Linked DNA regions of Mus musculus. The protein of the gene in region 1 interacts with the protein of each later gene in a pairwise test. Links are inferred from orthologs where the notes say so. Each region holds a gene or a part of one and is shown in the gene's direction. Other genes may lie near its edges.

Region 1 (3,500 bases):
CAGGGTTTCTTTCTTTGTAGACCAGGCTGTCCTTGAACGCACAGAGATCCACCTGCCTCTGCCTCCCAAATGCTGGAATTAAGGTGTGTGCCAGCCACCACGTCCAGCTTGCTTTGTTGTTTTTATATTACTTTAAAGTTTTCAAGCAAAATTACCAGGAAGGTACAGAGCCCCCACATATCCCTTGTGTTCCACCCTATAGCCACCCTCGCTTTCAGCATCTCTGAAAAATGTTTTATGTGTTACAATTGATGGGCCTGCATTGGCACATCATCATCACCTGCTTGGAAGTCACTCCTGGTGCACAATATTCTATGTGTGTGAAAAATAAGTGTGTGTGGACGTGCATTCACTGTGAGAGTGCTGTACACAGTGGTTTCACTCTCTTAGTATGTATGCTCCAGTTCCTAGTCCCTCCATAGTCCCTCCCAAGGCAATGCCTTGAAACAACTGTCTCCATAGGCTTTCCTTGCTTGATGTTGGAATAACATCACATACGTAGTCTTTGCAGAGAGGCATTTTTCCTGTAGTAACGTGTGTTTCGATTTCTCCCATCTGATTTAAGCCTTTGGGCTCTCACTTTAGCACTCAAACACTATCAGCATATAAATCCTGGGATGGGAGCTAGATCTGGGGTTCTAAACTATTCTGGGTGCTTCTATAATAGAGCTGTAAGTAAAAACTATTGACTAAGAAGAGAGTCTGAGGTGCTTGCCTGAGCACTATTCAAAGAAGGGACTGTAGGAAACACCTCACTCAGAATAGAAACCATAAGAATACTCTAGGACATGAGGGCTCCACCTTGGTAAGGAGTGGGAGGGGGAGGGCAGGTCAGTGCAACAGCTCAACTCTACACTGTGTGTGTGTGTGTGTGTGTGTGTGTGTGTGTGTGTGTGTGTCTGAGTGTGTGTGTGTGTGTCTGAGTGTGTGTGTGTGTGTGTGTGTGTGTGAGTGTGCATGAGACTGTGTGTGCATATGTGCATAAGTATATGTATGCATGTGTGTACAAATGTGTGTCTGGATGTGTGTGTAAATGTGTTTGAGAAAGTGTATGTATATGTGTATATGAGTGTGAGTATACATGTGTGAGTATGTGTATGTATGAGTGTATGTGAGTAGGTGTGCATATGAACATGTGTGTGTATATATGAACATGTGAATGTGTATATGTGAGTATGTGTGTGTATTTGATCATGTGTATGTAGGTGAGCATGTGTGTGTATATATGAGTATGTAAGTGTGTATATGTGTGTGTATATGTGAACATGTGTATGTGAGCACATGAGTGTGTATATGTATGTATATATGGATATGTATGTGCATATTCCTTCTCCTCCTCCCCTCCATGTGCTTGGCCTCACTGTGTTTCTGTGGACCATAGAAGACAGCTTTTGGAAGCAATTCTTCCCTCCACTATAGATTCCAGGGATCAGATTCAGGTTGTTAGGCTTTCATGGCAAGCACCTTTACCTGCTGAAACAGCTTGTTCATGCTGAACTTCTTTTCTTGGATGGTCCCACAGGGAACTCAAAGAGACTCACAGAGAGGAGCTCGAGAGGTTAGAGAACAACTACAAGGAGGCCCTGAAGGCAGAAAAGGCCTTGGCCGAAGAGAAACTAGGTACTGTCGGGCCCTGGGGGGATGCTGGGAGGAAGGTGGACAGCCTTCCCTGGCATCCCTATAGCCATGGCTTGGCACAGCCAGATGTCCAACATTTCCCTTCTGAGGCTTAAGGCATGAGAATGACTGAGAACGGAACTGCTTCATCACTGAAGCAAGAACGTGAAATTTTTTTAAGTGCATTCTAAAGTTCTAAAACTACAATATTACTATGATGCCTTCAGGTTTTCTTGCATGGAGAATGGCAGTGATCTCTTGAATGCTCACTGGGCTACTGTGATTGCAAGGCTCTGTAGTGCATAGTGCTATGCTGACAGAATCTCACTGTTTACACTGCTCTTGGGGAAAGCAGAGTGTGCACCCTTCAGATTTGGGGTTTATAGACTAATGTCCACAGAGAGAACGAGACACTCTACAACCTTCTTCCTCTGTTTGAAGTTAGTGTCTTATTTACACTTTGCTTGTTTTCTAGTTTCCTGAAGAGAATGTGTGGTTTTCATAACCACTGTAAAGGAGGAAATGATACAAAAAGGAGAAGCAGATGCATTGTGGGAGGTTCTGTTCCTCCTTCCCATAGATACAGATGACCCTCGGGGGTGGGGGGAGGTTGTCTTACTAAAACAGCTGAACAGAGTGTGGGAACTCTGAGATCTTGGAGAAGCATGTTTAGAAAGTACCTGGCCTCTCTCCCAGAAGCTCTTCATCCATCGGTTCAGGTGGGATACAATAACTGATAAGATTTTTGATAAGCTTCCAGAGCGACTTGGGAATCCCAAGACGGTTTCATCACCTCAGGGAGAGCTTGGGTGTGGAGCTGAAGAGTTCATGTGAGTTTTGGAAAGTGTGCCCACCGAAGGAATAATGACATCCTTGTTTTCTTTTCCTCCAGATAAGATGAGCAAGGAATATAAGTATCTGAAGAGTATGTTCCATGTGTTTCAGGTGAGATTCCAAACTGTATGGTAGGCTCTGAGAGCAAGAGAGGTGAGGCTCCTTCCTGGCTGAGAACTTGAGGATGACTGTAGACCTGGAGAGATTCTAATACTTCCATCCACAGTGTCACTGCTGTGCCCAGCAGGAATGAGTCCAGTGGCTTCCATGTTTGCTAAACCAGCCATTCAACTCTGAAGAGGCCTGTTGAGAAGATGGTGTAACAGCTGTTCACTGTCTTCTAAAAATGAAGACTGGGAGGGGGGTTAGGGGCTGGAGAGAGGGCTTGACAGTTAAGAGAACTGGCTGCTCTTCCAGAGGCCCCAGGTTGAGTTCCCAGCACCCAAATGATGGCTCAAAACCACATGTAACTACAGTGCCAGCAGACCGAACGCCCTCTTCTGGCCTCCTCAGGCACCAGTCCCACAAACAGTGCACAGACCTACACACCGACAAAAATACTTACACACATAAAACAAGACTTTTTTTTTTAAGTGGAGCTAACCACCAACAGTTACATGGAAAAGAAGAAATTGTCACTCACCAGAGGCACCCATGCAAACTGCAGTACTTTGTTGAACCATTCACTGAGCGAATCTACACTTGTATCCTCTTTTCTCTTGGGCACTTTAGGTCTTTCCCTCCTTTGTTGTGACTGCCTCTGTGGCTTTGGGATATCACTGTCCCTTTCCCACTGACCACGTGCTATTAGAGTCACTCCCGGTGACAGAACACAGAACTTCAAACAGTGGAGTACTGGTCAAACAGTGGACATATTTAAGGCCTTTCAAAGATTTGATCAAATTGCCATCCAAAAATTTTATCTCATTCCACATTCTACAAGCTGAGACCTGAAGCCATTTCCTTTCATCCCTGTACCAGTTGGGTTTGTTGTCAACTTGACACAAAATGGAGTCATCTGGGGGGAGGGAGCTTCGTTTGAGAACTTG
Region 2 (3,966 bases), on another chromosome or scaffold:
GGGCTCTACCACTACAAACTTTCTTCTTTCTTTCTTTCTTTCTTCTTTTTTTTTTTTTTCGTTTTTCAAGACAGGGTTTCTCAGCCGGGCGTGGTGGCGCACGCCTTTAATCCCAGCACTCGGGAAGCAGAGGCAAGCAGATTTCTGAGTTCGAGGCCAGCCTGGTCTACAGAGTGAGTTCCAGGACAGCCAGGGCTACACAGAGAAACCCTGTCTTTTTTTTTTTTTTTTTCCGAGATAGGGTTTCTCTGTGTAGCCCTGGCTGTCCTGGAACTCACTCTGTAGACCAGGCTGGCCTTAAACTCAGCGATCTCCCTGACTCTGCCTGGGACTTAAAGTGTGCGCCACCACACCCCAGTGTCTTTTCCTTTTTGAGTCCAAATCTCCCTGTACTTTTGGAGTTGGCCTTTAGTTCTCTGTCCTCCTGTCTCAGCCTTTGGGAATGACCAGCGTGATGTGATCCACTGGTCTCACTCACAGAGGTCCCACCAGTCAGAGGAACGAAGCAGATGCGGCATCCAGAAGCCAGGCTGTTCTTAGGAACTTTTAGTGGGTGCGTTTCTTCAAAACAAAGCAATATGCTGTGGTTTCCTTTTCCCTCAAAACATGAAACCAAGGGTTGTAGCGTGGTGGTCGAGTGATAGCCTAATGTGTCAGCATCAAGGCTCAAGCTCCATCAGTACAAAAAAATCAGTAGATAAAATATGTGTCCCACATGAGCCTGGTGGCCCAAATCTGTCATCCTAGCTACTTAGGAGGCTGACACACAAGAATCAAAAGTTCAAGACCAGCCAGAACAGCTTAGTGAGACTCTGTCTCCAACAAATTAATAGAGGGCTGTGGGCGGGGCTCACAGTGCGGGGGGGGGGGGGATGGGGCGGGGCTCCGTAGTGGACCACTTCTTGCACCATTCTGAAAGGTCTAGGTTCAGTCTTCTCTTTGGAAACTCGGTTTCGTGGCTGCGTAAATGCGTCATGGCTTTGGGACAAACAGCTAGATCGTTTTAGCTTCTCGGTGAGTCATCGTGGGTTCTCACATGGGCTCTGCAGCGTGCAGCGTTGGCGGGGGCACCTGCCACCTTTGGCTTGGGTTCCTCGTTCGGAAAATGGCCTGATGACGTGGTGTCGCCCTCCAGGGTTGGGATGTGGAATAGACATAAGGAGAACACTTAGCTCCACTTTGCAGACATGAAGTACCCTTCCTCCTACCAGAAGCGTAGCTTTGGGCGAGTCACTCCCACCCTCCACGCTCAGCTTTCTACACCCATAGTGTGGGGGCGACAGTATGACATCACGGGACTGCTGTGGTGGAGTTGAAGTGGATCTACTCCTCAGGTGGACACACGGGGCTCAGAGAAAGGACACTCCTCACTGGCGTGTGAATGGAGGGCCCTGCGACTCTTGCCCACCTCCTTGGTCTTCTTTACACGTGCCCTTCCCCTCTTTCAGCTGGAATTTTGGAGGTGAATACTTCAGATACAAAGGTATCCCTTTTCCTGTCGGCATGTACTCACCGGAGAGCCTCAGTCTGGCTGAGAACACTAGCAACGTGCGGGACGACGACATCTTCATTGTCACCTACCCCAAATCAGGTACCGGTAGTGCTAGTCTGGGCTGGGGAGGAAGGGAGGAGAGAAGGGAGGAGGAAGGGGAGGAGCCTGCTTTGCAGAACCCGGCAGCTTGTCCTCTGCTAACAGTACCTTCCTTTGCACTGCGCACTAAGTCCCTGCTCCAGGGAGACTCTGAAGGCCTAGCTAATGTCCCCTCCCCTCTAGGGCTGCCACAGTGTCCCCAATCCTTCCCTGTCTCCCAAGCCTTCACAGCACTGAGTGCCACCAGCCGCGCATGGTTTGCTGGGTAATTTGTTCATTTTTGTTGAGAAAGGTTTTCATGTAGCCCAGGCTGGCCTTGAACCTCAGCTGGTCCTGCTGTCTCAGTGTCTCGGGTTCTGGAATGGCAGGTGTGTGCTGCTGGGCACAGTGTCACTGGGTAAACCTCTGCTTATCCACTGGAAGGTTAATCTGGCTCTCTCTGAGCGCTCTGTCTGCCCTGGCTGTTGCTTGTTCTCGGAACCGCGCGTGTCTGTGGAGGAGGTTCCTCATTTCGTGTGAATTCGCATGCAGACTACTCCACAGTCTTCACAGAGAAGGAAAGCCACTGCGCATTCTGCTTCTCTCTTTGTCGCTGTAATAGACCACCTGACCAAAAGCAACCGAAGGAAGACAGGCCCTGTGTGGCTTACACTTCCAGGCCCCAGCCTTATCACAGAGAAGCAACGCAATCAGGAACAGAAGCAGAAATCACACAGGATCCTGCTGTGACTGCCTGGCTCCTTAGAGCTTGCTCAGCTAACTCTATAAACCCCAGGCCCCTGCCCAGGAGGGGCACTGCCCTGAGTGGGCTAGGACCTTCTCTATCAATTAGCTATCAAGAGTGTGCCCCCGGGCAGCATATGTCTTTAATCTCAGCACTAAGAGGGCAGGGGCAGGTGAGTTCGAGGCCAGCCAGGGCTACATGGGGAGACAAATAGTAAATAAACAAAAAACATATTTAAACAAATAAACAATGATAAAAGAAGACAATCTATCACAAACATGTCCTCAGACCAATGGAGTCAACCCCCCAGCTCAGCTGAGATCTGGGTAATTCTGGGCTGTGCTGGCAGCTGAGGCGAACTAGGAGGGCTGGCTACATGGTGCACATCTGTAATCCCAGCATGTTGGAGGGGAAAGTAAGAGGGTCGGAGTTAAAGGTCATCCTCAGGTACAGACTGGGTTCGAGGCCAGCCTGGTCTACAGAGTGAGTTCCAGGACAGCCAGGGCTACACAGAGAAACCCTGTCTCAGAAAACCAAAATCAAGAAAAAATAAAATAACAAACAAACCAACCCAAAAAAGCCCTAACTCACCCCACCGAGTACAAGTATGAACCTTATAGATATCATGCTAAAAAAAATGGAGCCAGACACAAAAGGAATTACATGGGGCCCTTAAAATAGCCATGCTTGGTGGGGGAGGGGGGGAGCAGCTAGGGCGGTAACAGGAGTGAGATGGGGGCAGGGTGGGTGGGGCAGGGCCTACCTAAGGTGAGAAATGAGAGCATTTTTTTGTTTTGTTTTGTTTTTTTGTTTTTTGTTTTTTCAAGACAGGGTTTCTCTGTGTAGCCCTGGCTGTCCTGAAACTCACTCTGTAGACCAGGCCGGCCTGGAACTCAGAAATCCACCTGCCTCTGACTCCCAAGTGCTGGGATTAAAGGCATGCGCCACCACTGCCTGGCGAGGGCATTTGTTTAAGGATTGCAGTTTCTGTTGGAAAAAGGACAAGTTTGTTTTGTTTTGTTTTTTTGTTTTGTTTTTTTTTTGGGGGGGGGGTGTCAAGACAGGCGTGACTATTGCAAAACAACATGGTTGTCTTTAAATGTTGCCAACTCAACCTGGAACTTAAAATAGTCACAATGATGAGGTCCCCAGTATAGGGTTTCAAGAGCATAGAGAGGCAGCCGGCACAGGAGTGACCCCACCCTCTGCAGGGAAAATCACACACGCACACACGCGCACACACACACACACACACACACACACACACACACACACACACGCAGCCATGGATTGCGGGGCGGGACTTCCTTGCTCCTGTCTCCAGATTCAGCTTCACTGAAGAGGTCCTGAGACGTCCTGGTGGAGGGCTCTTGTCATTGTATATCCCCTAAAAGGCTCACAGATCAGGCTGGCGAGATGGCTAAGCGGGTAAGAGCCCTGACTGCTCTTCTGAAGGTCCTGAGTTCAAATCCCAGCAACCACAAGGTGGCTCACAACCACCTGTAATGAGATCTGACACTCTCTTCTGGTGTGTCTGAAGACAGCTACAGTGTACTTACATACAATAATAAATAAATCTTTGGGCCTGAGCGAGCAGGGTCCTGAATTCAATTCCCAACAACCACACGAAGGCTCACAACCATCTGTACAG

The links.
Region 2: the proteins of Flacc1 (region 1) and Sult2b1 interact in binary tests that used the Homo sapiens proteins (3 or more experiments, as listed by UniProt). The two-hybrid records come from large-scale screens. The link is inferred for Mus musculus from reciprocal best matches to the Homo sapiens genes FLACC1 and SULT2B1.

What each region holds. Positions count from the first base shown.
Region 1 is NC_000067.6:58,668,490-58,671,989, reverse strand, and holds part of Flacc1 (flagellum-associated coiled-coil domain-containing protein 1), read left to right. Parts: intron 1-1,522; coding exon 1,523-1,620; intron 1,621-2,509; coding exon 2,510-2,562; intron 2,563-3,500.
Region 2 is NC_000073.6:45,739,679-45,743,644, reverse strand, and holds the start of Sult2b1 (sulfotransferase 2B1), read left to right. Parts: upstream 1-1,166; 5' UTR 1,167-1,284; coding exon 1,285-1,591; exon of another isoform or gene 1,592-1,683; intron 1,684-3,966. UniProt on the Homo sapiens protein: Sulfotransferase that utilizes 3'-phospho-5'-adenylyl sulfate (PAPS) as sulfonate donor to catalyze the sulfate conjugation. Responsible for the sulfation of cholesterol.